3 linked regions of the Lepisosteus oculatus genome follow. The protein of the gene in region 3 purifies or fractionates together with the protein of the main gene of each other region. This does not show direct contact. Links are inferred from orthologs where the notes say so. Each region holds a gene or a part of one and is shown on either strand. Other genes may lie near its edges.

Region 1 (8,010 bases), on a different chromosome or scaffold from region 3:
TCTTTTCCAAACTCTTAAAACAGAGCTCCAGGGTCCATTCACGCTATTACTTTGCTCTAAAAGGTTTTAGTTACATTTCCATTACTTCTTCCCTGTCAAACTGTCTGTGACATTGTAGCTCTTAATCAGTTTGGGGAGAGAGGCCCTGTGCAGTGAAGCCCATTTCTCCATAATGGTCTGAGGCAGAGACATCCAATGAAGTGTAGTGTACATTTATTAATGGGCGCTGATTTTTCTTTCAAGAAAAAATACCCCTACAAATTGAAATACTGAGCAAAAATGAATATAAAACACCCAAAACAACTGTTAGTACACCTTGTCAAATGATTCTCCAGTTTCTGTTATGATACACACTTGCTACCAAACAACGGCCCATCTCTTCTTTTTTCCTGATGAAAACATTTTGCACTTAATGACCAGATAACTTTATCTCGACAGATAAGGACGTTCAGGTTCCAACATCCTGGGATACATTACGTATCGCAGAAACCAGACTCACCGCCTTCTCTTTCAGATTTCTTCCAGTTATTACTGGGGTTTTGTAAAGAAGGTGTAGAGTTCACAAATGGTAAAACCTCAACATGTCCTGGCCATGGAAAAAAATGAGTTAATGGCTTAGTGGTCAGCACACGCAATGTAGGGCTTCAAGAGATAAAATGTATTGATATGGTGAGAAGTGCTATAAACAGTCTCTTATCAGGCGTTTGCAATCGCAACAATTTACAGAGGCCTCCAGCTTTATTCTTTCACCTAATCAAATAAGAGATAGAACACAGAACAAAAAGATTTATGGAATGAATAATGTGTCTTGCTTAAAAAAATCCTAAAAATGTTACATTGCAGTGTTGATAGCATTGCACAAAGCAAAGTCAAATTTATCAGACGACCAGAAAACACACCAGTCAAATTAATTCAGAAACCGAAAAATCTTTCATATATCCTCCCTCTGCATGGATTGTAAAGATAGGTCTCCTAGTATTGTGCCATGAGGGTTCTGGCATTTCCTCCAGGTATGGAATTTTGGCCATTCCCCCAGGCAGCATTGCTCTTGGTCCTTTACATCCTTTGGTATGTAAAGGACCTTCAGGCTCACACCTGAAGAAGGCTCCACGGCCGAAACGTTGTGTTCTCTTTCTTCTTTTTTTCAGCATGGAATAAACCTATTACTTGATCCTTTGGTATATATTTGTGAACTGCTTTCTTGAATTTAAACTACAATCATTCCAGTGCATTGAGGTCAGGAGATTGATCCGACCAGTCAAGAACACAGAAAGCAGAGTTTTCTAAAAACACACATGTATAGATTGGTGCATTTCTTTTAATGCTCTCATTTTAATATACAAAAGATACATTTGGACTATTGCAGCTTTACTTGTAGAGTATAACACATACAAATGTACAGTACATCTGAATACTTTAAAGCAAGAGAATTGCTACATTTTACCACAGTAAGCACTTTAATCAGTCTTACGATTGTCATTTAAATCAAGTCCATGTCCAAAATCAAGAAAAAAAAATCTGTTAATGTCTTGGTTTCATTAAAACTAAAGGACAATTTAATAATGAAATGTGTACCAGACACTAAATCATTAAAAGACCAACTTTTCTGTATTTACTACGGTTTCACATTGTGTTTCTTAACATGAGTACCAAAATATTTTAGTCACTGTTAAGTATCTGTACATAAACTCCTGCATCAATCAAGTCAAACTCAAGCAAATAAATGACAGTATCACAAAAGACACTAGTAGTGAGTAATATTTCTGAAGAGATAAAGTCAGGGGAGTATGCTGCCTCTAGAAACATGCCTTTCCATTATGGAATCTGAAATAACGAAGTACATTTGGATCATACAGCAGGACCTACTGATCTAAAAACAGTAATTCCCAATCCTAGTCCCAGAGAAACCTTGTTTTGAACACTGAAATTAGTTGACTTTCTAAAAACTCAAAACTCAGCTCTATGCAAGCAATCATCTTTCAGAATTCATGTCATCTAGATGTACTGTTTCAAGGTGGAATTTAACCAATGGGTTTATACAGTGCTAAGAATATTTAATCTTAGACGAGTGCCTGTCTTTCCCATTTGTGTCTTTACATTGACCGATAATAATCTTCACTCAAACATCAAACAAATACATCAATTAGGGTTTCAGTACTAATGAAGTAACGACTAATGAAGCATTCAATTAGAACAAAAATGAGCAAGACAGGGAAATATTAACCTAAAACCATCATCTTCAATTAATGCCACCCTTCTGTGAATACCTGTATAATATAATATACACTGTTTTCATATTCATAACTGCACATACACGTATAAATACGTATCACAGATCACCTACAGAGACAGGTATTTTAACGAAACATACCACGATATGTAACAAATTTACCATTTGGGAATAATTCAATTGGTGTCACCTGGATCGAAATTACTGTCCTAATCTAAATAGGTTAAGGTCATCAAAAAATATAAAGAAAAAAAACTTTCGGTATCATATAAACCATATTTCGCTATTCAACAAATCTTAACAGATCTGTGTTCCGCGATTAATACTGTACATCTAAACACGGATTCAACGACTAGTACTGTGAGAACCATTGAATTAACAGCTAGTTGCATAGAACCGCCAAGAACCCGGGCCTTTCAAAATCTACCTTTTCTCACAGATTTAAACGAGACCTGAATGATTTATCGATTATGCGGTGATCAGCGATCCTTCTGGCTCATACGCTCAATATAAAGCTGAACCCCATTAGTCGAGCATTGCAATGCAGTACAGTTTCTAAATGTTGCAGCTACAGTACACTCATCCTCTAAGTGAACACCACCTGCCCTATTCCAGCCACATCAATGCAACTGTTCATACGAACGTCTTTTTATCTCGTTTCGCATGTTCTACACATCCTTACCCAGGGTCACTGTACTAAATTAAACCTGTACCCTTCACTCCACATACTGAGATCCGATGAAAAAACAGATTTTACCTGCACTTTTCTCCGCCCAGCAGCATTCTGCCTGTGATGAGCCGCCATCTTACATGTTGACAGCTCTACGTCACTTCCACCAAGGAACGAAGGCGTAATCTTCCGGATGGGCCTTGTCAATCAAACGAAAAACTCTGACGCTAAATGGGAGTCTTGTTACCATATAATAGAGAAAAGATGAGAATTAAACAATGCCATTAAGAACCCCATTCTGGAAAAAATATTAATAATAGATGGTCTCGTGATTCATGTCTCTCTGCGTATTACATTGAAAATAAAATCTGTAATTAGACGTGTAATTATTTTGCTATGAACTTGGCAAATCGTTTTCCTAACGAAAAAAAAACATTAATCGTTGTTGTGACTTCAATATATATCGGTGTGTGATTTTCGTAAAACAGATTATACGGTTCCTGTATCATAAAATAATATAAGAACAGTAGTTTATAAAAAAGGACGCTCGTCTTCCACCGTAAAATAACTGCGTCACTAATCGCAGATCTACGGTCACCGTAAAGTTGATTGGGGCGATAGGAGTGCACCGAAAGGAGACGCTGTACCTGTTCTGTCAAAAGCATGGAGATCCGTACCTGAACTATGTTTTTATTTTGCATTTTTTATCTAAATTAAGGGAAGTCAATTATGATATTTCTAGACAGGTTATAAGTCATCGTGCAACTAATGTACGGGAATACAGCACATTCATTGAATGGAGAAAGTACATAGTGTATCGGTATTTCCTTGTTCCATTGATAAACCCCAAACCCTCCCAGCTGGAAGATAATGGAATTACTGTTTAGGCACATTCTGTACGATCGGTCCAAATTATGTTCAATCTATGAAATAACGAAGGTGGCTTGTATGTTTAGATTTTGTCATGTAAAAGCTGAGATCAATATTCATAAACGTAGCATACATTTGTAGTGAAACAAATTATTATCTAGGTGGGTGCTGCACAGTGGTGGTGGTGGAGGGGAGTCCCCATTACCTGTAATGTCGAGGATAGAAGGAGAAACAATATAAGTAAAATAATTTAATTTTCAGAAGTTATTTTTTATGGAAACATATAAGGTTAGCTATTCCATCTCTTTTTATAATGAGTTTTTTTTTTCCAGTGGGGAATCAAAACATGCACTACAAAAGCTGAACTGTGTAATACCCCCAGGAATGACGTATTAACCCTTCAAGACGACTATGCTTCTTTTCCCACTTGTTAGAGTGAAAAAAATATAAAATTATAAAACCAGATTATCATTATATAAAAACATTTGTAATTATTTATCAATAGGCTTCCAGTGGACAAAAGACAAACTGCTTGCTTGTTATTTATACACACTGTATTATTATTTGAATGTGCGATACTGAAATATATACATTTTTTGTTTGGTCATTGTTATGTGATAGAAAAATAGTCACCTAATTATACAATTATACCACACTGAGTTATACATTATTACAATTCATTGATTGTTTTAAAACTTGAGTTTCATCATGGATAAAGCCATCAGTAAAATAGTAACAACAACAACAACAATAATAATAATAATAATAATAATAATAATAATAATAATAATTTCTTACACTTACAAAGCGCTTTTCTGGACACTCCACTCAAAGTGCTTTACAGGTAATGGGGACTCCCCTCCACCACCACCAATGTGCAGCCCCACCTGGATGATGCGATGTATATGAAATTATTCTAATGCCCATGGTTTATACTCATTTTTAAGTCCAGGTAACTATTAGTTATGTATTCATCAGCATCTTTAAAAATCAAGAATAAAACTACAGAAAATTAAGGACAGGTGTGTGGAATATGATGCACTAATTTAAAGGTATGGTGCCTAGTACAAAGTACTTAACTAAGGTCATGGATCTGCTGATATTTTAAAAAAATATCTGGTTGCCATCTGTCTATGCCCAATGGTCTAGCCATTCTGATAGTGGTGTGTGAGCAGTCACAGCCTTCTTAACTCTGTATCTGTTTTTATTTTGTCTTCTTGATTGCTCAGGTATTAAAAATCTGATATATATAAGGTACATTAAATTGATTCTAGTGTGTTTTAATTGCATTAGTCTGCCATTTTTAAAACCATGTTTGTAGAATAAAAAAGCACATTGATTTCTTAATTTAACACTCAAAATAAATCCTTTAGTTCTTGTGGCTAGCCTATTCCCAACCACAACAATGTGATATGTGCAATATGAACTCAACATGCTGTCCTATTATTCTGATTAAAGACCAATCCCTTTCATTCACATTCATGTTGTTTTCTGTATTTTCCTTTGGAAATGTCAGAAAGAGCCATACATTTTAAAAACATAATTCAGAAAAGAGTATCATCACATTAAAAAAGAGCAACTCAAATCCAGATGTCCTCTCACAGTTTATCTAGAGCAGAGCAGAGACAGATGTGCCTTCTCTTCCGCTGCAATGATCATGTTAAACACTGAGATTAAAAATTACTCTTTTTTTTTGTCTGGGAATAATGCCGAGCTGCATATTTACTAAGTAAGCCTGTCTGACCTTGTTATTTAGACCTAAAATGTTAAGAGATCACTTTTGCCAGGCAAAACAACATCTTTATGCTAAGAATTGTAGATACGTATATAAAAAACACACTATTTCTCTGTAAAGCATTCCATATGATGTAGACCCTACTTCTTGATTCCACTTCCAATATGTTATGTTTCTGCCTCAGACTCCAAACTCCTTCTCCCCTTAAGGCAGGTCTAGGAAAAAAGTTAAACAAGGCAGATGTTTTAATTCATGTTTTATTTATCTTATATATTTTGATCCCAGTTTTGCCCTGTTACTCAGTTAACTGCTATGACCCATGTACCAACATGGAGGAAATGAGGACAATGCTAGCTTTCTTTCAGACCAAATAATACTGAGATATTCATCATTCTACACACTGGACTAAAAATAAAAGAATGCATATAAATAAGAGGCAACCATTTGAGCTATTTAGCCTATTTGGTAGTACAGTAGCTAAATAATTTGATGATCCCCTATGTCTTTTTTTTAGGGTATCGGTTTTTACAATATGATTAAGTATTGTAGCTCACCTGCCTCCCACAAGGCTTTGTATAAAGACATGCCTTCACCTTAGTTACTGTTTGGATCCTCTGATTTGTGTTACAGTACCTTGCTAAGAAACCCATAAGGCTGACTTTGTCAATACCTTGAAGTTTTCAGTGCTTGAACCAGATCTCTGCATAGTTTGCTCCATTTGAAACTAAAAGGTTTAGTTTTTTTAGGCTACAGGAGTAGTACATTCTTTTGAGACTAGCTCAGCAGGATCTTTGTTTCCAGAACAGCAAGACCTTTTTAGTAAAGACTAAAAGTGTACAAAAAAAACAAACTTTCCATCCATTGAATAATATTTCTTTTGAAGCTTTTCCATTACTGACAGAAAAAAAAATGTTATGATATAATTAGCTGAACTTCTTAGCACAATCTTGCAATTACTGTAATATGGTGCACTAATAAATACACACTACATGCTTATTTTTAGAATAAATTATGAATAGTATTTTATTACTACATTTCAGAAAGAACTATATTACTTTTTATAGATATGCCATCACTTTTTTAAATCAAATACCGTACACTGTTTTTGACATATTATAACATAAATCCATATTAAAGTTTTATGGATTTATGTTATACTCTCTGCAAAAATATATAATGTACCAAAAATCTGGCTTTTTTAAATGATCTTCTACTCCATTCTAATCAGTAATAAAGTTGTCTAAATACCTCAGAAATTAAGTTCAAATTCAAAATACAGTTGTTGTTTTTTTTTTCAAATCAAGACTTCGGCTTTGGTTTTTAATTCCTCATCTGGCTTTTAAATTCCCACCCTGTATCACCACCTGTGACTGGGATTCCCCAAGTGACTATGCACAAATGGTTGAGTGCCACCAGGGGCAGAGTGAGATAAGTTGACTTTCTCGGCTGTTGTTGACACGGCAACCCCTTTGGTTTCACAGGTACGGGCAGACTCTCTTCCAGTGAGCACTGAACCTTCAGTACAGGTCTGTGTTGTCTGTGACACGTTATAAAATGAATGGCTCAAAGATGGCAGGTGAGAGGAGTCGAGCTGCACTTCCTCATTCTCTCCTGTGGCTATGGGAATTGTAGCCATAAGCAGAGACATGAAAAGCACAACAGGCAAAATTATTTGACATTTTATTGTTCCCAAAATGTTTTATTTTTCCAAAGTATGAACATTTCCAATATCATTTCCATTACCAAACATTTCCACTGTCAAACTTGTGTGCTTTTTAGAAGACTGTCACAGTCATGAAAACCACTTATGTATGTAGGATCCCCTTGGAGCTGTGCTGTAACCAGGGACAGTGCTCCTAGAAGCTTCTAGAAGCCAGTTAATCTAAAAGTACAGTATGTCTTTGAGCTGTGGGAAGAAAATGGAGCACTCAGAGGAAATCAAAGCAAACATGGAAAGAAAATACAGACTCCACACAGACTAATTGAACCAAGGGTCCCAACTCAGCAAAGCAGAAACGTTTAATTTAAATAAAACGCCATTATGTTCACAAAAAATGCTTACATTGTAATGATATCCTCATATTGTCTATCGGAATTGACTATCTTTGTGTCCCAGTGACACATTTTCAGAAAGAAAATGCAAGAATATCTGAAACAATGTAATTCATGAACTTCATAAACTGGTTTGTCAACTATATAACCTCTATAGTTCGTGATTACTCATTCATCTGTCAGATGGGATTGATTGTAACAAAAATGCATAATTGCTAATATATAATTCAGTAATTTAACCATAAGTGGATATCCAGTAAACTCATAACTGACTTTTTCCAAGAATCTCTCTCATCAACACATGCTGGGGAATCATAATGTCTAATCACTTCGCCTCTCACTTTACAGGCAGGTATCATACTGTTGATAGCCATTATCAGTGGTTTTCCTAAAGATCTTTTTATCCCAAAGGCATATGAACTCTGTCTTCCTAAAGCTTGTGGAATTCCATTT
Region 2 (8,141 bases), on a different chromosome or scaffold from region 3:
CCTCCCAATTTCTCCACGGGACGTGTTCCAAGATGGACAGATGAGATTCGAAGTTGCTTAAATTTCAACAGCCATCAACTGACAGTCAGAAGTTTAATACTTCGTACAGTTTTGAAGTTAAACATGTAACTTTACGGTACAATTGTAATTACTTTTTTTCACAAATAATTGTGAATAACCCATCAAATTGCCTGTAACATAACCATCTAATCCCGGTTTGAATACAGAACAGATCTGAGCTCTGGACACACTAGACATCACGCCTGCAGTTCCAGAGTAAATGTGTTCCTCCCGACAGGATCCGAACCAGAGACGGCACCTCTGCTTCGGGTTTAAGAGAGGAGTGCTGTTCCCCCCTGTGTTGGCCACCCAAGACACTGACAGCCTTAAATGGGCAAAGCTTTAAGGGGACATCTGTTCATCAGGACTACTTCACTCACCTTCAGAGCAGTGCAGAGAATGAATTTCATGCCCAGTGCGCACACAGACTCCATTCCACACCTTCAAAAGATCATAAAGACAGGTGTTAACATTGTTGTCCTGTTGGCCACACTGCAAAGGTACATCTTACTCCACAACTGTCTCTACTGCAGGCACTTCAACTGCAGTGCACAGAGATTCCCAGTTCTACAAGCTCCTATACAAGGGTGTACAGATTAAGTTTGCACTCAGTGCTGTACTGCCCTTGGTCCTAGTAAACTGGACTTGATTTTGTGCTAAAACACAAGAGCCTCCCAATTTCTCTATGAGACGTGCTCCAAGATGGAGAGACAAGATTTGATGTTGCTTAAATTTCAACAGCCATCAAGCGACAGACAGAAGTTTAATACTTTATACAGTTACAAATAAAACATGTAACGGCACAGTACAATTTTAACTTCTTTTATTCACAAATAAATTGTGAATAAACCATCAAATTGCCTGAAACATCCCCATCTACTCCCAACTTGAATACAGAACAGATCTGAGCTCTGGACACACTAGACGCATGACATCCTCAGTTCCAGAGTAAATGTGTTCCTCACGACAGGATCCGAACCAGAGACGGCACCTCTGCTTCGGGTTTAAGAGAGGAGTGCTGTTCCCCCCTGTGTTGGCCACCCAAGACACTGACAGCCTTAAATGGGCAAAGCTTTAAGGGGATACAAAACCATTAAGACTGCATACCTTCCTGTCGAACCCGGAGCCACGACTACACCGCGATGGCTGGAGGACAGCATCGCCCGTCAGGGGGCTGCAATTGAAAAGACAACCTGTCAATCAGTCAGTCTCACTCTCATACACAGCACCTTTCAACACAGGGCCCTGGTGAGGCTTGTCGAGACGCGTCCACAGTCACAACCGCGAACCAGCGGGGGACCGTTCCATTGCGGCATTCAGAAACAAAAGACGAACATGGTGCATCGATCCAGTTTAAAAAAATAAGCCTCCCACAGAGAACTACTACAGCATACAAAGCAAGCACCACCGCTATGTGCACGCCAGCACTAGAATAAGAAAACGCCTGGTGTGTCCTGACGGTACCCGTGAGACCGCGCGTGTGAATCTAACCGTCTCCAGTGTCACCCCTGCATGCCCGCTCTGCGGTCCACCAGTGCAACGCCTCCAGGTCATCACTTCGACTGGGACAGTATCGACATCGGAGCTCTGACACTCAGCTCCCGCAGGGCCGGGGCTCCTGGCTTCTGGTCCAAAGTGGGCAGCGAGTGGCTGACCATTTCCCTCATCTTACAGGCGATCACACAGATCTTCCACGTGATCGAGGGCTACCGCTACCTGTAACCGCCCCACGCCAGCCTGGTTAGAAGCACTACAGTGAGGTCACCAATTAAAATAACTTAGACCCACCCTGGAGCAGATCGCAGCTGGAACACGAATCCAAAGAAAACAGGACCCTGCAGGACCCCCGATTCAGACGACACCCGAGAGGGGTCGCTCGTCACGCAACAGACCAAGGCGATCAGGACCTACCTAGGCGATCAGGACTCGGGGCAGAGAGGGCACTCATCTGTCCTCCCGTGTCGGACACGGAACGCCGCAGGCCCGCCCCCAGCTGTGGAAACACAAAAACGAGATTTTTTTCCTCCTTCTTTAAAGGAGAAAGACGCACCGACATCAAGGCGCTTCCGCGTGGAGCCCGGACCGGGTATCCCAGACCTGCTGGTGTGAAGAGCACAGTGCTGCGGGCTCCAAACGGAGGAAGAAAGGGCCGCATTTATATTTATCCGCCCCTTTCCTGGCTGGGAGGGGAAACCAGCCACAGCTCACAATGCAAACGCAGTTATCACCGAAAGCAGTTCAAGTAGGGAGCTGCGTCAGCATGCGTGAGCTGCAAAGGAACGAGTAAAAGTTTATTCCTGCTGAAAAGAGAAGGAAAACACTAAGTTTTTTTTTTCTTCTCTATTCAGCATAGAATAAAATTTTACTTGTTCCATTACCAGAGAAATACTAGCAGACGGTTCGTTCGACAAAGCTACGCAAGACGGAAACGTGGGCAAACCCGTCAGGAAAAGGCGATAACAAAACGAAACAGCAAAATCCGCATGCCACGTGGTCGCTGAAAAACCCAACTCCCCGTACAGCCTCAGCACACAACCGCGCCGCGACCTCCCCAAGCACTGCAAAGTGCATTATTACTGCGTCGCAATTCCGCTAAGCAAATTTTAATCACGTATAAAGGCTACACTACTGCTTCCTTCTACCTCTCTGAACTACACGGTTTGTCAACTACCAGGGGTAGACAGCCGGAGGCCTGTGCAGCACAAACCGCCCCCCCAGAAAACAAAGGATCCCCCAATAACTAACCATCCAGCTGATGAATAATAACGCGGGACATTGCACTCGCGTTCCCCCCACAGAAACGCTAGCTGCTGCGTCCCTCTGCGCCATTTCATTTCACGATTTCTCCAAATCTGCACAACGCCCGCACAGCCCGCGCGTCCGTCCACCGCGCGGCCCAGGAGGAAGAGGAGGAGCGCCGGTGCATGCTGGGAAACTAGCGAGCCCCGGAGCCCGGCCTCCTTCGTTAAAGGCGCAGCTCTGCACGGCACTGGCTCGACACAGCAGGCCATCGCCAGAACAGTTTGAGCGGGTGGGCAATTGGTTTGAACCGGGGGGGTGGGTTTGAGCGTCTATTTGAGACTCTACAGACGATGGTTACCTAATCAACGCCACAATATAGGAGGCACAGTCAAAAGTATTTCAGGTGGGACAGTAACTAAGAGGGAGGCCATTCAGGAGTGAAAACAGGGGGCGTTTTTAACACAAATGTTCATGGGGGGTCTGGAACACACTACCCAGCAGAGCTGCTGAAGAAGATTCCCTGGGATCTTTCAAAATATGGTGGGATGAGTTCTTGAATTCATTGAGCAGCTTCCAGCCTGATGAGCAAGCAGGGTCAAACAGTCTGACTCGTCTTCTCTCTGACATGACATACTCTGCAGTGCAGAACATACTGTACATTCACAGATACACACTGGAGCAAAAACTTTCGAAAAACACTTCATTTTTATTGTCATCTGATGGTTTAGACCTGAATGTTTTGTAGATGTTCCATTTAGGATGAGCAAAGCTCAAAGCTTCCCAGCTTCTTTGAAGGGAAATTGAGTTCTGTTTCATTTCAGCGAACCGGGGAATGTGACTGTGTAAATGTAACACAACTTGAAAGGAGCCAGAGGAGGTATCCTCCGTCCCTGGTGGGATGAGCTGTACTAGCTAATAAATCGCACGCAGCTTTGTATTCCCAACAAGCACCTCCCAGATGAGGTCTTGCAGGCTGAGTTTACTGAGTTTCTTATAAACCAAATTCAAAAGCAAACTAAAAAAAGCATTTCCATGGAAGCCCTCTTGGGAAACAATAGCCCACTCTTCTTAAGAAACCACAACCGAAGACCCATTAATCGTTTAATAAAACATTGTAGCCTCTTTACGAAGCTGGCAGACAGTTGTACAGCACCATCTATTTTAAGCATCATTAAAAACAATGAGACTTCCTCGGAACGCTGTCTCCACACAGATCCCACAGAGATCCCACAGAACTCCAAATGTCACCAACTGGCTTGATTATGGGAGATAGTGCTTCCACTGTAAACACTCTGTTTACCAGAAAAACGTTGTTACATTTTAGAAGTCTTTTTTTTGGCAAGCTTTCACAGAGCTGAAGAAACAATTGGTCAGAACTGGAAGTGCTCTGTTACAGTTGTAACGCAACGGGGGTTCAGGCGGGCACCCTTGCCGCATTAGGTCGGCCCCCCACCGTCGGGGGGCTCGAACCCGGGACTCCCGCGTCGCTCAGCAGGGACCCAGCTCGGTGAGCCGAAGAGAGATCTCTCCCCAGCCCAGGGGCTGTGGTCCTGCTGTCACAGGGAAGGGCGGTGACGTCACCTGCTCTGGTAAGCCGGCTCTTACACAGTACCTGTCGGCCGTAAGCGTTACACAGTGTTACACGTTCGCATACCCATAGATGACAACACGTGCTTCTTGCTGATGCTCTACCCTGGCTGTGACCGCAGCTCCATGGGTACTTCTAGAGGAAAGGTCTGTGTCCCCTGCTGTTGCCACACGCTAGCGTTCTACCAGAAGGACGTACGCCCCCTGACACCCTGGTTCACAGATGCTCCTCCCTAACGTCCAACAGGAATCACACCGTGCTGTGCTTCTCAGCCTGTACAGCTTCTCTAAATGTTGTTGGAACAGGTCATTTGTTTTGGTCAAAGGTTCGTACTGTTAACAGGTGCAATCACTTGGTGAAGGAGGTGTAGACTTCCACAGAATAACAGACCTCAGTAACAGACATGACTTGTCCTGTTTCCTTCGAGTGCTACACCTTTGCGAGCCTGCTGTGAGGGGATACCTACAATATCTGTTATTCGGGGCAAGCAGTCCGAGCCATGTGCCATTAACACAACAGGAAGAAAAAAACACTATACAGACTACTCCCAGCTTCAGTGCGCTCTATTTCATAGCCAAGGAAAGAGCACTGAACAGCGTGCGGAGACAAGGCCGAGCGATACTCTTAAGTTTGTCCTGAGAAAAATATAAGGACACTATTCAGTGAAGCGGTGCAACAGTGCAGCTCTGCTCAGGAACAGCAGAGCGTGTTTAACGCGGTGTGTGGAGTGGGATCAGTCCTGACAGCTGCCTTCTCTTTAAACTGCTCCAGCCTCTGTCGCCTCGCCCCCCTCCCCAGGCTCCTGGCTGCGGCGCTGGCCGGCTGATTGGCCGCAGCCCGGCTCCGGGATCCCCGCACGGCCATCCGATTAGCCCAGCCGGTCTGTCTCTCAGCCGGCCCCGCCGCCGCCGCCGCGCTCCGAGCCGGTTCGGTACCTACCCACCTCGGCGAGCGGGAGGGGGCGTGTGGCTACTTCTCCCTGCGACTCGCCGGTCCCGGCAACCCGACGCAGGCCGTCCTGTTCGCGTCCGCCGTCCGAGCGCAGCGAGGGGGCATCACCTGGCGGAGACATGCACCGAGGCGGGCGCTAGGGCGCCCCGCTGCCCTCTCGTCCCCTGCCCGGGCGGCGTGCACGCATCCGCCGGCGCAGGTCCGAGCCCGGTGGCCGGGGGGCGGTGTGTATATTGCGCCGGGGCAAGGCGGCGTAGCTCCCTGGCTCCTGGAGCTGCCGGCGGAAGACCTTTTCGGCATCGTCCAGCCTCCGTAAATCATGTTTATTTTATAAAGATGGCGCTGAGGGGGGACCCTGTAAACTAAATGACTGTCAGAAATATCGCCTCCATTTGTAATATGGTAAGTAAAGCGCTCATGCACAGGATGGCCCTCGGTGTGCGATGGTGACAGGCGGGCAGCGATCGGGGGGTACGGGGGGCTCTCTCGCCGCCGGTGCTCCCGGTGCGAGTTGCCTTAGGTCCAGCGCTGGCCGGGGCTCAGACCGGGCGCCTGGCAGGGATGCGCAGCTCTAACCGAGGGCACAAGGGCACGGCTGCCGGCCGGGGCGTCACTCAGTGGCGGGCGGGTGGATGGTTTTACTGCGGTTTCCTGCGACTTTTGCAATCGTGCGGGCTGAGATTTACCTTTTCTTTTGCCGTTGACTGTGTATATACAGTCTGTTTTCTCCCCCCGAGGATAATGCGCATCCTTCGCGTACATATTTTGAAACTTCTCCGTAGATCTGGCCGGGCAAAGAAAAACTAGGCTAATCCGCGATTAAATGGTCCCTGTTGTTCCCGACAGTTCTGAAAGACTTACACCGAGGTCAACTTTTGATAGCGTGTGGTGTGGAGCCCAGGCACCGCGCTCATTTTCCCCTCTGTCCTGAAAGTGTGTAAAATACATGATTCACAGTGCCTGTCACTGATTCCCCAAGACGAGTCTTGGGAAAACATCTGCTAATTGGAAACTCATTTTAACTGCCTCTCCTGAGACGTAAAATATTTATGATGATAACAAGCACGCTAGCTTGCAGGTTTAGTAAGTTGTGGCGAATTATGAGATAAAGTTTTTCTCGTTGTGTTCTTTTTTTCATAAAGAGCATTAAAGAAAAACCGGGACAGTTCCAATTACTTTTTTCAGCAACCTTAGACATTATTGAACATGTTCTTGCAGTGTGATGTTTAGTTCCAGTATGGAAATAATGACAGGTTCTATATGTTGAATTTGAAGGAGAAAATTATCGATACATTGCACTATAACCCCAGAACCTTCTGTCCTGATCTCAGCACAGCTCAGAAGCTCAGCAAGGCCGGGCCAGGTCTGCAGGGGGGCCACTCTGGGAAACCAGTTTGCTGTTGTAAATGGTGTTGATGGACCAGTAGGAGGCACTCTTCCCTCTGGTTACAAATTCCAAAACCATTGCAACAATGAGGTGACCAGCACACTGTTCAGCAGGAGGTGCTGTACTTCAGATTAGTTGTTAAACTGAGGTCCCTACGTCTTGGTCTCCTGTAAATCTCCTTTGTTATTGCCTGAAGAGACTGTCAAAGGATATTTGGGTAGTACTGAGAAAACTAAATGAATCTGACTTTTGCTGCAGTGTTCCTCCGAGTGGCGGTATCTGTTTTCAGCTGCACCTGCAGCTCAGCGCTCTTGAATGCAGCTGTCAGGTCGCTGCGAGGCTTGAAGTTTGAAGTTAAGGAGCTGAGATCCGCCTGTCAGCTCGATCTGTGTTTTCTTACAGGGCACCAATGCCTCTGCTCTGGAAAAAGACATTGGTCTGGAGCAGTTTCCAATCAATGAACACTACTTCGGCTTGGTCAATGTAAGTAACATTTCAATACTTATTTAATTATGCATCTTCTCCATTCATATTGCTTCGTTCTCCAGTCGGAAACTGGCACCCTGTTGGAGGAGCAGGCATTGGTGTCGAAGGGTCTTAGTCATCAAATATGGTTCTCCTAGATGAAGAGTGTACTGAAGGGGTTGGAAAGTCATTTAACCTTTGAATTGAACTGCGCATTAAAAAAGTAAAAAACTACAATCAGCAGGCATTCGCCTGGCACTAATGGCCCCTGTAGTAAAGGCCTCTGGAATTGCAGGAACAGTTGAGGCCCCGGATAAGCGGCTCTCCTGCAGAGGGTTCTGGGAGTCTTGCACCCAGCAGGCTCTGCGCAGAGCTTCCCCAGGCCTCTGGCACACGTGTCTTTTTTAAACTAGACGAGCTTCTCCCGCGGAGCAGGAGACTCGTTCTCCCCCGGGGAAGGGCAGGCGTGTAATTGAGAAACCCCCTGTCTTCCTCCTTCTCGCCTGTAGTTCGGCAACACGTGCTACTGCAACTCGGTGCTGCAGGCGCTGTTCTTCTGCCGACCGTTCCGCGAGAACGTGCTGTCCTACAGAGCCCAGCAGAAGAAGAAGGAGAACCTGCTCACCTGCCTGGCCGACCTCTTCCACAGCATCGCCACCCAGAAGAAGAAAGTGGGCGTCATCCCCCCCAAGAAGTTCATCTCCCGGCTGCGCAAGGAAAACGGTGAGAGCCTCTGGGGGCGCTGCGTGGCGGCTTCGACGAGGGCCGGTGCGTTTTTACAGAGCCCTCCTGGGACACGCGTGACAACACTGAGATCACCACACGTTTAGGTTGCTTTCTCCTTTTCCCCCCAGAAGCAGTCTTGCGTTGTCCAGAAACGACACGTTGTCCGTGTTACAGCTCATCTGTGCAGATTTCTGAGCGGCCTGTTCACGGTCATACGTGTTG
Region 3 (8,144 bases):
TGTTCATTGCAGTGATCTTAAAGGCTTTTTTATGTTCAATTGTTTTTCTTTGCAGAATGTACATTGGGCCTCATAATGAATCTTTATCTTCCATTCTATTCTAAAACAGAATGGAAGATCAAGATTCTCCTGACTCATGTTAATAAGTATGTTCACAAATACACCAGTATGCAGTTTAACAGCAACGACTAAGGTTTGTTTTTGTCTTCATCCAGAAAGTCTTAATTTTTTCTGTATTCGCATAGCCATTGACTTAATGTTTGTACATATAGATGGGAAATAATTTTGAATGTAATGCTATGCACGTAGTACTGTTTCTTCTGTTTTTATGTGTTTACTTTTTGTCATTGTGGCTTGTGATTTTAAAATTTTCTAAAAGGAAGCCTTTTGTTTCAGCACTTTTTCATGTACCCTTCCAATAGCATAGTTGTTTGAGAACTTTTGTTTCGTCTTGTCAAACGTCACTGAGGACAAGACATGTCCTGCAAATAATGCCTGATATCAAAGCAATGTGCCTTTTTATATCAAAGATTTGACCAATCTTTCCCTGCTTTCCGTAAATCTAGATATGTAATACCTTGGTTATATGTACATGTCTAAAATTTCTGCCTTTGAGGGACTGAAAAGATAACTTAAGTAATTGCTGTTGAGTACAGATTTTGAGGTAACTCCTATCAGTTTAGTTAGCTTAGGAACAATGCTGGGAAGTTGAAGGATTTATCAACTCACAGTAGGAGATAAATTCAATATTTACCGGTTAAAAGTGATTTTTTTAAAAAAGCTGACTTTTATGACTGAAAGTGAAACCTGATTTTAAATGGTGGATATGTTGTCCCTTTTTGGTACATTAGGTTCCAAGGTACATGTAGTGCTCCAAATTGCAATGTGTTTTCTTAGCTCTTGCAAACAAACATCATCAACTAAATACCTCACATGTTTTTTTGGGGCTTCTGTTTAAGAATTGTAAGGCATACCTTGATTATGACGAGCATAACAGGACCATGAAACAACTTTTGGGATGTCGGGGGGCATTCATTTACATAAATTGAATACTATTGATTGTGCTACTGAGTTTTTCTGTTACACTGTTTGTGAAGCTACCAGCATTGATTTATTGTGTAGAAATATTTTGCTTTTGCATTATTGTTCTATATTAACTGCTAACTTTTCGTGACCAAATCAAATAAGATCTAGCTTTTGAAAATAAAATCTTCTGTAGCAATGCCATGTGTATATGGAACAAGAGATGTATGACGTGCTTTTAGGGATTATTTTTAGACTGAACAACTTAATGCAATCAAGGCTTTTCTGTATATATTGATCACCTCAATTGCCCACCACCCCTTTTCAGATCAGTTTTCTAAAGATCAGTTTTATTCTGTCAACATACACGTGTAGTGTATTGTTTGAAATGGACTAAAATAAATCTAGTTATTTACGTAATAGTCAAATTGTTTGGCTTTCCCTGTTTTCATGTACATTACAAAACAATATAGCATCTGCTGCCTGTATATTGTATATAATTGTAAAAATGCTAAAATATCCAATTCAAGACCCAGTTATGAATAGCTAGGAAGAAATTAATTATATACAGATATTTAATAAACCTTAGAAGGATAGTTACTAATTTACTCCTTTTCATTGAATTTTTGAAGACTTTGTTCAGTTTGGGGTTATGTAATGGATAAACCATATTTTTCCTTTTTTAAGGACAGACTGAAATCTTTCAACAAATTAGTCATTTTAGATGTTTGTAAATTTTTATCTGGCTAAAATTAAAACAGTTACTTAGCCATTTCTTTTCAAAGATATGTAATTTGATAAAGATGTTTCTGTTTGCTGGTGGATGAGATTTTGTGGGATTTTTGAGGTAAAAGTCCAAAAAATATACTACTGAGTAACACTGTACAATAACACCAGAAACAACAATGTATTTGTTTTGATGAACTTCTTAATCTGTTTATATCCTCTTCAATGGGAGTGGGCCCCTTGCCAAAATGCAATAAGCTTTCTTCTGGATTGAGCTATATCTTATTGCTTCTTCACTTGATACAATCAAACCCAATGGCTGGTTTACAGACAGCCTAAATGTGGCCTTCCATTGCTTCATGTAGATGATGTACATCAAGCCTAACTAGATGTTCTGTCTTGCACTGCTATGATACGTATGTAGCTGGGATGGTCTCCTATTCCCTCTCACCTTGTTCTTTTTTTGCCATTGCATCTGATTCTGTTATGATTGTACGTGAAAGAGAAATGGTCACATTTACAGAAAAGAAAAGTCTGAAGGCTGCCCACTTCCCTTACCTGCTTGAGTCAACAGATAATACAAGAGGTATGGTGGAAAGTAGTTTTTTTACATTTACTGTAGTTGGAAATTAAGTCAGATCGGCTTTGGATGGTCAGTTTTGACACACCTGTGCATACAACTAAAGGCTTCAAGTTCAAAACTAGAGTGTTAAAAACAGACGTGTTTATCAAAACTTAAGGATTGATGGACCTGAATAGCAGGCTGCAGCTGTGGCAAGGGGCTTGCTACTCTTGTGCTTTCTGATGCCAATTGGGGTCTCTTTGCTCTATGTCCTGGCAGTTTGTCATTTGTAGTCTTTGTTATTATCTAGCATTTCTTTTTTTAATCACATTCTGCTGTGCAGCCGTCCTTTAGAAAAACAGTAACTTTTCTTTCCATTTTATAACACAAAAGCTGTAGTAGAATATTCACATTTTCTGTACTGGCAGCACTTGACCACATGGGAGTGCTGTTAGACACTGGGGAGTTGCAGCAAAGAACAAAATTGGACTGTTTCTCATTGTGTCCAGTGTTTTTTATTTTATATTCACCAGTGTATTTTTAGTTTAAAGGGTGCAGTGTTACCCCATCGTTTAAATTCTTAAATTCGCCTGTAAGAACATTGTATGCTTTTAAGTGTTGAAAGAACTGGCAGATTAGGGCACTGCGGAATTGAAACAAATCCCTGGGAAGTGTATGAACAGCAAATGGACCTTTTTAAATCCACTAATATAAATTGTTGATATATGTTTGCCTATACATGGTTGTCTTACTTCACTCCATACAAGGTAAGACACATCGGTCGCAGTGGTTGCAATCTTCAGCTTCAGAGCTGCATGTGCAAAACAGTGTAAATACTCTCATTTCTACTCTTGATGTATCTTTTTAAAATGCAAAGAAAATGTTCAACATACCTCTTTGCTGAACATGGAAAATTAAAAAAAGTTTAAATATCTGTCATTTAAAAAAAAAGTCATAGCTTTGGGGATAAAATGAAAGTGAGCATTCACACCATTCCATTTGATGTGATTGTTTTTCACTATTATGTTGGTTGATACACATGTTGTGCTTGTGTGGGAAAGGAGGAGGGAGTCAGGAATCCAGTTTCCTTCCCTTTTCTTCTCATAGAAATAAAGTCATTTAGTTGGCGAGTCTTCGTATGAAGTTCCCCTTTATGAATCTCTGGTAAAGTACCACATAAAATCTGATTGGTAAGAAAGGATTGTTGAGTTTGAGTCCATTGTCCTGAAACCTGGAAGGGAATGCAAGGCTGAAATTATAATAAGGCTGTAAACAATTTCATGGGACATTTTAGAATTCTGCTGTGTATTATTGTCTTTGGGTTGGAAAAATTATGATCAGTGACTAATAAAAATTCAAAAAACGTCCATAGAAAGCCAGTGTTTTGTATTTATTTATCTGGGACTAGTAGGAGTAGTTTGTTGACTGTTGTGGAAAAATATTGGGAGGTTTTTATGTTCATTGCGTTTCGTTACATGAAAGTGTTTGTCAGAACAATTCTTTGTATAAATGGGACAAATTATTTAAGAGCTAGTGACCTGAAATCTTTTAAAAATCTTTACAGAAAAATCCATAATCTTCAGTAAGCTGCATGCGAGACACCACAGTCACTAATTCCATTGTTCGGAGTGCGACAGCAGGCTGTTCTCGAGCCACAATCAGGTTACAAACATGATTACTGTATACCCATCAACATCATAAATTGGCTTTTTTTGACATTCTCGGTGGGTCCACAAAGCCTTTTGTTTGACCTCTTGCAGTTTAGATTTTCTTGAAAGCCTTGGCACTCTGTGCGTCTACATTTGTTTTGCACGTCGGAGGTCCCTTGAAAGCGCTTTGTCCATGCTGTCTTGGTTCCTTCTCTTTTTCATGTCCTATAATATCTTTCTAACATAAATGGCAGAATGGGAACGGCACGATTTCATCGTTTCCTTGAATGCAGTTCAGAACTGAGCTGAGCTGTGGTTGTGTTTCAGTACTGCTGAGCAAGCAGATCACTGAAGGTAAAGGCACAGGCATATGCTGTTGGTTGTTGCACAAAGATTTCCATCATGGAGCAAAACAAAGGGAGACGCCATTTCGGATTTACTCTCTGTCCGCACTGCATGTCAACACGGACAACACTCCACATTTCCGTCTGCGCCTTTTAGGGTGAAACGGGAATTCTGGAAGCGAAAAAGCAAGATCACGAAGAATACAACCTGTTGAAATTCGGAACAAAGTTCATTCCTGTCACACAGGGGACATGCAATGTATGGACGTTTGTCAAGATTGATTAGTGGTAAGAGACTGACAAAACTGGCAAACAAACTTCAGAGTGAGGGTGGTAACTTAGGTAAATGATTTACAGAGTGCCATAGTGCTGGCTTCTCAAGTGATGTGAGAGAGAGCTGTCTTGTTTATACAGCTTTGTGGATTGATAGCTGTGAGATTGCCCTGGATAGGGACATCTGCTATGCAAGTGAATAGTAATTATTAAGCTAATAGAGAGTGGAAGCTAATTAAAGAAACTAATCAACCTTAAACTTTAAATTTTAGAGTTTAATAAAATGCTTTACTGATGATGGTTTATTCTCAAAGCTGTTTTGGAGGGTAATAAATCAACAGCAGATGAGCCTTTTATTTTACAGTTTAAAAGCTTTTTTTTCCAAGTAGTTAATTCAAGTTGACTAAACATTGAGGATTAAATCTCTAAAAAAACTTATCTTTATGTATTAACACTCTCTCTAGGAAAAAAACAATACTAACATCTGATTTAGTAATCCATGGGACTAGATTGTCATACGATTTTCCTGGAAGACGAGGAAATAGACAGTTTTGTACACACAGAATACCAGAATGCTTATAATCTGCAGGTTGTTGACACTGTCCTCACTTGGACGGAGGAAAGGCTGACTTGATTTTTGCATTGTCAGGTCACCCTTTACTTCAAGATTGTGGTTTATTGCCAGTTCCTTCTTGCCTGGTGTCCTTTTCTGTGTTCCCAGCCTTGTATTGGCAGGTATTGACATTTATTGAGAAGGATTTCTAGCCACACTCCATACGCAGAGGATAACTTTACCTTTGAAGGGTGTCATTCCGCGATTCGCTACAAATGTGTCAATATCGCCAGAGCTGTAAACCGCTTCGCTGAAGCTAATGAGCAAAGCTGACGTTATTGACGAAGAATCCCACAAAGCTGCAATTCTCCAGTTGTTTGCTTTTGCAACCTGCTGTTAGGATTCCTTGCCATAAGAAAAACTTGGCAGCCTTCTCCTGCAGTATAAAAAATGCGTCGTGTTGTAAATGCCCCAGTCCATGTCATACATGCTGATGCTAGGTTAAAATGTATCACTGCAAAATATGACTGGCACATTATTAGCCTCGGCTTAAATGATTTCTTTGAGCAAAGGATTTAATTGAGTATATAGGTTTATATCTCCATTAACATGTTTGATTTTCAGAGCTTTAAAATGAGATTGTTAACGTTAATAATGAGAATATAACGTTCGTTCGGAAGAGTCCATATTATCTGTTCATGAAACAAGGTGTCCACTTTCCCTATCAGGTGAATATTTGTGGATGGGGAGGATCTTTAGATTCTTCCAGCGGTCTGGATCTGGGAATGGCCTGGACGTTACAGGTAAACCAAAGATGAGGAATGAATAACCTAGAAAAGTCTCTTATCGTGAATAGTTAAGAAAGTGTACAAATATTTAAAATAATCTCGGTTCGAGTGAGGCGTCTGTCTTAATGATAGCGAACGTACCCTGATGAATAATTCAGCGCTTTCCTCCTCTGTATGGGCAGTTTTCTATGAATAATAACTCTGGCCCTGCCTTTCTAATGTATATTGATTAGATCTGTCTGACAGTCCGTGATGTTACAGTCTCGTTATGGCGTCTTAGCAGAGCTGAATGGGATTTTTTCCTCTGCTGCCCCGTGCATTGGAATTTGCCAGTTGTGAACTGGACATTTTTTTTCCGCCTTCATCTGTAACGTATTTCAATGTAAATGGAGGAAGACGAAAGTCCAGCGGGGGCGGTACCGGGCACGGAACCGGACCGAAACGATCGAGGTGGCGGCGAAGATAGCGGCTCTTGTACTGTTGCTCCGCCAGCTCCGGAGCCTTGTGAACCGGGATCAAACCAGGCTGCGGGTCGCGGAGACCTCGTCGGACCGGGCTCCCGTGTAACTGGAATACGGGTTTTGAAGGTACATGTCTCAATCATGCTCAGTATCTAAATTTCAGAACAGACACAACCCTGCCCACATTTGAAAAGACAAGGGCCGTTATTACGTCTGATACTGTTAACAGCTCTTCTACTTTCATAGCTAGTAATACTAAGTACGGTGATTAATTTTATGTGCATTTTGTTTGCCGTTTATCTTAGTGCGTGTGCTCTTGAATCGTTCTTTTAATTTATATTCCCAACTGCATCGGTAGGTATATTTTGTTAGTCTCTACCGGGGATCTGCATAGTGTCATACCGAAGCGTAGAGTTATTCATTACTGTTGCTGTCATGATGTAACCTGTTAGATCTATTTTAAATTATTTAACGTGTTTTAGTCATTTACCCGTATTAATCTCTTAACAATTATTTTAGGAAAGAAGTAAGCACGTTAGCAATTAATGTATTGACCCATAAGAGTTACACGGGTCTTAAGTTCCGGTAATGCCCTAAACAAATCTAGTCATTATATCATGAATATTTTAGTATGCATAGTTAGCAAGTGTTTTGAAACAAAGTGATTTTTTATTTGTGATAATAGCGGTGTGCCTTTTTCAGACGTTGTTTTTTTTAAAAATCATTGACATTATTTTCCTGTATGTAACCAATATACCCCGAGACCTTAGTTCATTCGATACACGAGCAGTACTAGTTAACTGTTTCCCTTATGGATGTTCCTGTACTTCCGCCATTATGTCATAATTAACTCATTAGATGTCTCAAGCACCACTCTATTAAAGATATGCGTGCTTACTTTCTACGTATGTTTGAATGTGGGCTGTACGAATATTATTCATCATTTTTTCAATGCTTCTTATCATGTTAGTCCTGAAGACTTTAATGCTTTGTAAATCAGGATGCTCTCTTCAAATGACTGCTGTGATTGCAGTATTCTGTTCGAATTGATATAAATAAATACATAAGCTCCGCATCCGGGTTAATTAAAATATCCATTGCTATTATATATGATACGGCTGCGTACACATGTATAACCTTCATAAGTGTGAAGTGTACCTCCAGAGACGGATTTTAAAGAACAGCACACAGGGATTGGTGGAAACTGCCGTCCTTTGCTAGTGCTTTAATATTACTGAAATATGGCAAACTACCGGACATATTTGCAATGCATATCTGATAAAGAGAAGCGCAAGACCACCCTCGCTCTAAAGATTGGTATGTGTTGCATGTTGGAACAGTGGTGCTGCTTAATTGAAATCTCTTAATTAGGGGTTGTGCCAGATTTATTGATCAATTTCTGGAGTAAGACATTTCTGTGGGAAAAAAAAGGTACAAACATCATATGCCTATCTGACCATTGCCTGTAATTTCCAGAATAATGCTACTCAGGCTGTATTTCCATATTCCAGGCAGTGTGTGGTGGTCAGTTATTCAGTTATTTTTCTTAAATGTTTTGCAATCTTGAACTGACATTTAGAGATCCCTCCCACTAGAATCCAGCCATCAAGGTCTGGCGTTGCCCCATGACTGAGGGACTCCAGCTGGTGATTTTGTACATGACACGGATCTTGATTTTCAGAAACATTTCAGAAGCGTTTCCTACATGACAGCTGTTGCAGTAGTTGATGAAACAAAAGTGTCACACAACTAGATTGTGATAGTC

The links. Proteins that work in one complex are often made in the same cells at the same time.
Region 1: the proteins of phlpp2 (region 3) and wdr48a purify together in Homo sapiens (affinity purification with mass spectrometry; 5 studies listed by BioGRID and IntAct, with this or other methods). This does not show direct contact. The link is inferred for Lepisosteus oculatus from reciprocal best matches to the Homo sapiens genes PHLPP2 and WDR48.
Region 2: the proteins of phlpp2 (region 3) and usp46 purify together in Homo sapiens (affinity purification with mass spectrometry; 4 studies listed by BioGRID and IntAct, counting the BioPlex papers as one, with this or other methods). This does not show direct contact. The link is inferred for Lepisosteus oculatus from reciprocal best matches to the Homo sapiens genes PHLPP2 and USP46.

Annotation. Positions count from the first base shown.
Region 1 is NC_090701.1:35,350,232-35,358,241, forward strand, and holds the start of wdr48a (WD repeat-containing protein 48a), read right to left. Parts: upstream 3,090-8,010; 5' UTR 3,036-3,089; coding exon 2,988-3,035; intron 1-2,987. UniProt on the Homo sapiens protein: Regulator of deubiquitinating complexes, which acts as a strong activator of USP1, USP12 and USP46. Enhances the USP1-mediated deubiquitination of FANCD2; USP1 being almost inactive by itself.
Region 2 is NC_090696.1:78,123,189-78,131,329, reverse strand, and holds the start of usp46 (ubiquitin carboxyl-terminal hydrolase 46), read left to right. Parts: upstream 1-5,052; 5' UTR 5,053-5,707; coding exon 5,708-5,743; intron 5,744-7,130; coding exon 7,131-7,211; intron 7,212-7,702; coding exon 7,703-7,916; intron 7,917-8,141. Other genes in the region: uncharacterized protein, read right to left, coding at 438-501, 1,168-1,234, 2,806-3,071. UniProt on the Homo sapiens protein: Deubiquitinating enzyme that plays a role in behavior, possibly by regulating GABA action. May act by mediating the deubiquitination of GAD1/GAD67.
Region 3 is NC_090715.1:9,959,687-9,967,830, forward strand, and holds the start of phlpp2 (PH domain leucine-rich repeat-containing protein phosphatase 2), read left to right. Parts: upstream 1-4,707; 5' UTR 4,708-6,304; coding exon 6,305-6,505; intron 6,506-8,144. UniProt on the Homo sapiens protein: Protein phosphatase involved in regulation of Akt and PKC signaling.